Saccharomyces cerevisiae S288C: one gene and its partner. The protein of the gene in region 2 interacts with the protein of the main gene of each other region in a biochemical or structural test. Each region holds a gene or a part of one and is shown on either strand. Other genes may lie near its edges.

Region 1 (3,774 bases), on a different chromosome or scaffold from region 2:
GTTTTGATTTGGTTCCCAGAAACAAAGGGTATGAGCATAGAAGATATTGATAAATTCTTCGAATTTGAGAGTAAAGAGGGCACCAATTTACATGGGGAAAAGGGTATCAAAACGCCGGACTCAAATTCTAATGGCGGTTCTACAAGATCCTCCCAAGAAGGGCAATTGCATAAACCTATAAAACTGAAAAGCGATGAAGAGATGATCATATGATACACGGTCCAATGGATAAACATTTTTTATCAACACTATGATATATAAATATAATAGTTTTTCGTATATATATTCCTTTTTTTGGTCAATTTTTGAAATTTTCGTAGAAAAGGGAGAGACAAAACACATTATATCAATGAAAACGTACAAAAAGTAGATAAAGTCAGTGCTTAAACACGTCTTTTCCTTAAAAATACTTTATTATTTTTATTTTATTGAGAGGGTGGTTTAAAAATAGAAATAGAGAGAGAGGTACATACATAAACATACGCGCACAAAAGCAGAGATTAGAAACACTTGTGGTGAACGATAGATGGACCACTTTCGTCGTATTCTTGTTTTGAGATCCACATTTGTTGGAAGGTAGTCAAAGAAGCCAAGATAGAACCACCAATCCAGACGGAGTACTTTCTTTCTGGAGGAGCAATGATCTTGACCTTCATGGAAGATGGAGCCAAAGCGGTGATTTCCTTTTGCATTCTTTCGGCAATACCTGGGAACATGGTGGTACCACCGGACATAACGATGTTACCGTATAATTCCTTACGGACATCGACATCACACTTCATGATGGAGTTGTAAGTAGTTTGGTCAATACCGGCAGATTCCAAACCCAAAACAGAAGGATGGAACAAAGCTTCTGGGGCTCTGAATCTTTCGTTACCAATAGTGATGACTTGACCATCTGGAAGTTCGTAGGATTTTTCAATTGAAGAAGATTGAGCAGCGGTTTGCATTTCTTGTTCGAAGTCCAAGGCGACGTAACATAGTTTTTCCTTGATGTCACGGACAATTTCTCTTTCAGCAGTGGTGGAGAAAGAGTAACCACGTTCACTCAAGATCTTCATCAAGTAGTCAGTCAAATCTCTACCGGCCAAATCGATTCTCAAAATGGCGTGAGGTAGAGAGAAACCAGCGTAAATTGGAACGACGTGAGTAACACCATCACCGGAATCCAAAACAATACCAGTAGTTCTACCGGAAGAGTACAAGGACAAAACGGCTTGGATGGAAACGTAGAAGGCTGGAACGTTGAAAGTTTCAAACATAATTTGAGTCATCTTTTCTCTGTTTGATTTAGGGTTCATTGGAGCTTCAGTCAAAAGAACAGGGTGTTCTTCTGGGGCAACTCTCAATTCGTTGTAGAAGGTATGATGCCAGATCTTTTCCATATCGTCCCAGTTGGTGACAATACCGTGTTCAATTGGGTAACGTAAAGTCAAGATACCTCTCTTGGATTGAGCTTCATCACCAACGTAGGAGTCTTTTTGACCCATACCGACCATGATACCTTGGTGTCTTGGTCTACCGACGATAGATGGGAAGACAGCACGAGGAGCGTCGTCACCGGCAAAACCGGCTTTACACATACCAGAACCGTTATCAATAACCAAAGCAGCAACCTCTAAACATATAATATAGCAACAAAAAGAATGAAGCAATCGATGTTAGTACATGAGACTTAGTAACAGTAGCAAATAAAAGAAGAATATCACTATCACTTATCACGAAAATATTTCAGTTTTTTTTTTTTTTCCAAATTTCAAGCCCCTATTTATTCCAATAATATCGTGGTTATTACAGATCAGTCAATATAGGAGGTTATGGGAGAGTGAAAAATAGTAAAAAAAGGTAAAAGAGAAATCTCTCGAGCAATTGGGACCGTGCAATTCTTCTTACAGTTAAATGGGATGGTGCAAGCGCTAGAACATACCAGAATCCATTGTTAATTCAGTAAATTTTCGATCTTGGGAAGAAAAAAGCAGTAAGCGTGAAAAATCTAAAAGCTGATGTAGTAGAAGATCCTATTCTTTAACAAAGATTGACCTTTTCTTTTTCTTCTTGGTTTGAGTAGAAAGGGGAAGGAAGAATACAAGAGAGAGGAAAAAAAGGAAGATAAAAAGAGAGCGTGATATAAATGAATATATATTAAACAAGAGAGATTGGGAAGGAAAGGATCAAACAAACCCAAAAATATTTCAAAAAGGAGAGAGAGAGGCGAGTTTGGTTTCAAAACGGTTTATTTATTTATGCAAGAGGACGTGGAAGAAAAAGAAGAAGGAAGAAAAAAATTTGAAAGAAAAAAACGCGTGGCGGGTAAAGAAGAAAATGGAAAATAGAGGCCGGGTGACAGAGAAATATTGAGGGTTAATTGGAAAATATGTTAGGGTGAGGCATATGTTTTTAAGGGTTTTGAGGATCCGATAAGGAAGAATGTAGGTTAAATGTTGTGCATTAATTGCTGTGGCAGCTTACCCGCTTCCCCACACATTTTGGTAGTATCTGTCCTCTTGTTATTGTTACTGTAATTGTGTATATATGTTCTCGCGTGTGTCTTATTTACTTATTTAGTTATTATATTATATGGGTCTGCAAGGTAGAGGCGCGCTTGTTCAACAGCAGCCCCCACCGGTGTTGGTTAAACTCTGTCCCTTCAGGTTGACGTTCCCTTTGTCTTCCTTCTTCTGAGTGGTTTCGTTCAGGTTTTGTTGGGACATACTTTCCTTGATTTGTCTAGCCATGGTTAAAAACGCATCCTCGACGTTGGTGGAGTCCAAAGCACTAGTCTCTAAGAACGGCATCTTATTCGCGTCCGCAAATTCCTTTGCCACGTCATATTCCACGACACGCTTGTCCTTTAAATCACACTTGTTACCTACCAATAGCTTCAACACTGTTGAGGTTGCATACCGATCAATCTCTTGCAGCCACATCTTCACGCCGTTGAAGGATTCTTGGTCAGTGACATCATACACGATAATGATCCCATGCGAACCACGGTAGTAAGATGAAGTGATAGTACGGAAACGTTCTTGACCTGCAGTGTCCCAAATCTGTAGCTTTACAGTCTTGCCGTCCAGTTCTACAGTCTTAATCTTGAAGTCCACTCCAATTGTGGAGATGTAGTCGTTGGTATATGTGTCGTCCGAAAACCTCAAAAGTAAACAGGACTTCCCGACACCGGAATTCCCGATCAACAGCAGTTTGAACAGGTAATCGTACTCGCTATTCATATTAGTGCTTTTCTTGTTTTATTTATTTCAACCTGGGCCTAACAGTAAAGATATCCTCCTCAAAACTGGTGCACTTAATCGCTGAATTTGTTCTGGCTTCTCTTCTTTTTCTTTATTCCCCCCATGGGCCAAAAAAAATAGTACTATCAGGAATTTGGCGCCGGGTCACGATATACGTGTACAGTGACCTAGGCGACGCCACAAGGAAAAAGGAAAAAAACAGAAAAAACAACAAAAACTAAAACAAACACGAAAACTTTAATAGATCTAAGTGAAGTAGTGGTGAGGCAATTGGAGTGACATAGCAGCTACTACAACTACAAAAGCAAAATCTCCACAAAGTAATATAATGAGAGAAATCATTCATATCTCGACAGGTCAGTGTGGTAACCAAATTGGTGCTGCATTCTGGGAAACTATCTGTGGTGAGCACGGTTTGGATTTCAATGGGACATATCACGGCCATGACGATATCCAGAAGGAGAGACTGAACGTGTACTTCAACGAGGCATCTTCTGGGAAGTGGGTTCCAAGATCTATTAACGTC
Region 2 (3,831 bases):
GTTAAATTTTTTTTTTTTTAAATTTCACTTTCTAAAGTCCCAGAAATCCGCTTGAATGTCTTACATATTGCAATGGATATGCTTGGGTGATCATACTTCCTGGCTTTAGATATTTGAAACTTAACTCTTGTCAACAAACTTCCTATGGAGTGTATAAGAATTGTAAGTTATAACACCGGCGAACAATCGGGGCAGACTATTCCGGGGAAGAACAAGGAAGGGCGGTCTTTTCTCCCTCATTGTCATAGCAAGGTCATTTCGCCTTCTCAGAAAGGGGTAGAATCAATCTAGCACGCAGATTGCAAACACGGCTTAATAATATGCCTATCAGGCATTCACCCGTGTGACGAATCGCACACCGCTGCTCTCCTTAATTCCCTAGAGTAGAAACCGAGCTTTCAGGAAAAGACTACGGCAGTAAAGAATTGCTTTACTGGGCGTATAAAACCGGGAGAATCAAGACATTCTAATGACTTGATTCAGGATGAGAGCTTAATAGGTGCATCTTAGCAAGCTAAAATTTGGACAGCTCTCATTACTAAATTAAGATAGAAAAATGCCTGCTACTTTACATGATTCTACGAAAATCCTTTCTCTAAATACTGGAGCCCAAATCCCTCAAATAGGTTTAGGTACGTGGCAGTCGAAAGAGAACGATGCTTATAAGGCTGTTTTAACCGCTTTGAAAGATGGCTACCGACACATTGATACTGCTGCTATTTACCGTAATGAAGACCAAGTCGGTCAAGCCATCAAGGATTCAGGTGTTCCTCGGGAAGAAATCTTTGTTACTACAAAGTTATGGTGTACACAACACCACGAACCTGAAGTAGCGCTGGATCAATCACTAAAGAGGTTAGGATTGGACTACGTAGACTTATATTTGATGCATTGGCCTGCCAGATTAGATCCAGCCTACATCAAAAATGAAGACATCTTGAGTGTGCCAACAAAGAAGGATGGTTCTCGTGCAGTGGATATCACCAATTGGAATTTCATCAAAACCTGGGAATTAATGCAGGAACTACCAAAGACTGGTAAAACTAAGGCCGTTGGAGTCTCCAACTTTTCTATAAATAACCTGAAAGATCTATTAGCATCTCAAGGTAATAAGCTTACGCCAGCTGCTAACCAAGTCGAAATACATCCATTACTACCTCAAGACGAATTGATTAATTTTTGTAAAAGTAAAGGCATTGTGGTTGAAGCTTATTCTCCGTTAGGTAGTACCGATGCTCCACTATTGAAGGAACCGGTTATCCTTGAAATTGCGAAGAAAAATAACGTTCAACCCGGACACGTTGTTATTAGCTGGCACGTCCAAAGAGGTTATGTTGTCTTGCCAAAATCTGTGAATCCCGATCGAATCAAAACGAACAGGAAAATATTTACTTTGTCTACTGAGGACTTTGAAGCTATCAATAACATATCGAAGGAAAAGGGCGAAAAAAGGGTTGTACATCCAAATTGGTCTCCTTTCGAAGTATTCAAGTAATTGTTTTTGCGTGTTTCTCGTATGATTGTAATATGTAGATAAATTAAACATAAGTATATCAAATGTCGATATTCTTAAGACTGTTTCGTAAATATGTTAAATACCGGATGTGACTACATATAAAAAGTGCGCCTTTTACAGTGATAATTAGCGTCAATCAATAAAATATTTGTAAAATAGGAAGCGAAATCCCGCAGATGCCAGAATAGGTGGTGTATAAGGCAAGAAAACTTTACCTGCATAAATTAGTATTGAACACCAATCAAGTAGTCAGCCAATTGCTCGACAATCTTGGTGGCCTCACCGGCTTGTACGGTTGGTGGATAATGAGCAATAATAACGGTTTGCTTAGTTCTTACACAAACAACACCCTCAGCATCATGTCTACCGTAGATACTTCTATCGTCAGCTCTCAACAACATGAACTTTTGGCCTTGAATATGCAAACCATTGCTTTGCAAACCAGCTGGATTGTCGAAGCCTTGAACAATTTCACCAATTTCGTTTGGTTGCAAAGATAGGCCACCAGAAGTAGCCCAAACAGCGTCACCTGCTCTCGAGTAGATGACAGCTTTGTCGACTTTACCGGTTCCTATTAAGTTATCAGTGTATGCTGTTTAAAAGTAGGAGAAAAAAACGGAAAGAAATTCATGTTTGAAATTTCATATGTTTTTTGATATTCCAGTTAGTAATTTACTCTGAGTGGTTAATCTTCGAAATTACGCGCATCAACAAAAATCGGGCATTGCCAAACATTGTCACACAAGCTAACCTCCGACTCATTTCTTTCTTAATCAATTGATAATTGTCTCGTTCACATACCTTGCCAAGACATAATTTGCGATCGTAGTTGGGTTTATGTTGTGTATGTAATTTATCTTTTCTCAAGGATCACACAGTTGTTTTAAGAAGGGAATGAGAAAGGGTCAACTGAGCTTTAAAAAGAAAAAAAATATTAATGCGGGTAATGAGTTTCGTACAAAGACATTTCATGGCGTGTTCTCGCCAAAAATCATGGTAAAACCTCCCACACAGTAACCTCATACTAAATACTACAACATGTCATCACTCCATTTCTTTGCGATTGTACATACTAATATATATAAACAAAGTAACGTCTCCTCTAATCCTCGTCTTCGTCGTCCTCGATGACCGCAACCCTTCTTCTTTTTGTCTCGCTCCTATCTTTTTCTTCTTCTTCCTCTTCTCTGTACATTGCTGCTCCTTCTCTTTTTAAATTTCTTAGACGAGAGGCGTTCTCTTCATCCGCGTCCTCTTCTTCTTCTTCTTCCTCATTATCATCCTCTTCGTCGTCAAACGCAGCCTCCTCTTCCTCATCGTCGTCGACTAAAAAGTCATCTTCTTCATATTCATTTCTTCTCGAGGCTCCATAGGTAGTGGGTGAATTTTGCTTTCTAAATCCCGTCTCAAAAGCGGCATCTGGGGATTCTTGTTTCTCCTTTTCTTTGAGCTGTCTTCTCCTTCTGTCTCTTAAAATCTGGCTTTGCTTTCTCTCTAACTCCTTCTTTTCCACTTCAGGATCCATACTTACAATGTATGTTCCAGGACCCTTGCTTTGTCTTTGGTTCCTTCTTATAACAGCTTTACTTAGTTTTTGATGTATTTTTGAATTCGTCGAAGTTGGAATAAACATCAACGTCTTTTTTATTTCACCCCCTTCGTAACACTGGATCAACTCTTGTTGGTCATGCGATACTGTCAAAAAAGTGTTGCTCGTATCGTTGACCAATATATCTGTACACTCTTCACCAACTTTTAGCGAATATGTACCGTCTGACCACTGCACTATTTGTGTATTTGATTCTTTAAAGACATGTTGGTCTTTGTCACGAGAGTATCTCCATCTAACAGTGTTTTCATCAATCAGGCGGTCGTCCAGTTGATCCTCCCTAGAAGCTGAATTGCTTGCCCTTTCGTTTACTTTGGCCTCAAAACTTGGAGGGTCGAAAGGAATTGGATCGATAGTTAAAAAGTTGGGAATTCTAGCATAGAAAATTTCGTTGTGAGACGCCGTTTCATTCACATTAGCTTTACTTGGAATAATATGTCTGACAAGCTCTACATTTTCCTCTTTAAAAGTGTGAGTAGTCTCATCTTGATCAGAAAAGTTATTAGCATCCTCACCATAAAATTTTCGGGTGTACATGGCTTGCTCCTCTGCTTCATCATCATCTAACCCGAGACTTTCTCTATGACGACTTCTATGGTTGATATTCTCTCCCTCGTCGTCTTCATCACTATCACTATCACTTTTTTCAGTCTCCGATTTTTTAACATCATCATCATCATCGTCATCATTGTCATCTCCAAATAAA

Evidence for each region. The genes of interacting proteins can lie anywhere in the genome.
Region 1: the proteins of PFY1 (region 2) and ACT1 form a complex in vitro, tested with the Saccharomyces cerevisiae proteins (4 studies listed by BioGRID, with this or other methods).

The regions. Positions count from the first base shown.
Region 1 is NC_001138.5:52,760-56,533, forward strand, and holds ACT1 (actin), read right to left. Parts: upstream 1,938-3,774; coding exon 1,928-1,937; intron 1,619-1,927; coding exon 501-1,618; downstream 1-500. Other genes in the region: YFL040W (uncharacterized protein), read left to right, coding at 1-213; Rab family GTPase YPT1, read right to left, coding at 2,607-3,227; TUB2 (beta-tubulin), read left to right, coding at 3,577-3,774. UniProt on the Saccharomyces cerevisiae protein: Actins are highly conserved proteins that are involved in various types of cell motility and are ubiquitously expressed in all eukaryotic cells.
Region 2 is NC_001147.6:550,558-554,388, forward strand, and holds PFY1 (profilin), read right to left. Parts: upstream 2,331-3,831; coding exon 2,318-2,330; intron 2,109-2,317; coding exon 1,741-2,108; downstream 1-1,740. Other genes in the region: glycerol 2-dehydrogenase (NADP(+)) GCY1, read left to right, coding at 557-1,495; Paf1-complex subunit LEO1, read right to left, coding at 2,619-3,831. UniProt on the Saccharomyces cerevisiae protein: Binds to actin and affects the structure of the cytoskeleton. At high concentrations, profilin prevents the polymerization of actin, whereas it enhances it at low concentrations. By binding to PIP2, it inhibits the formation of IP3 and DG.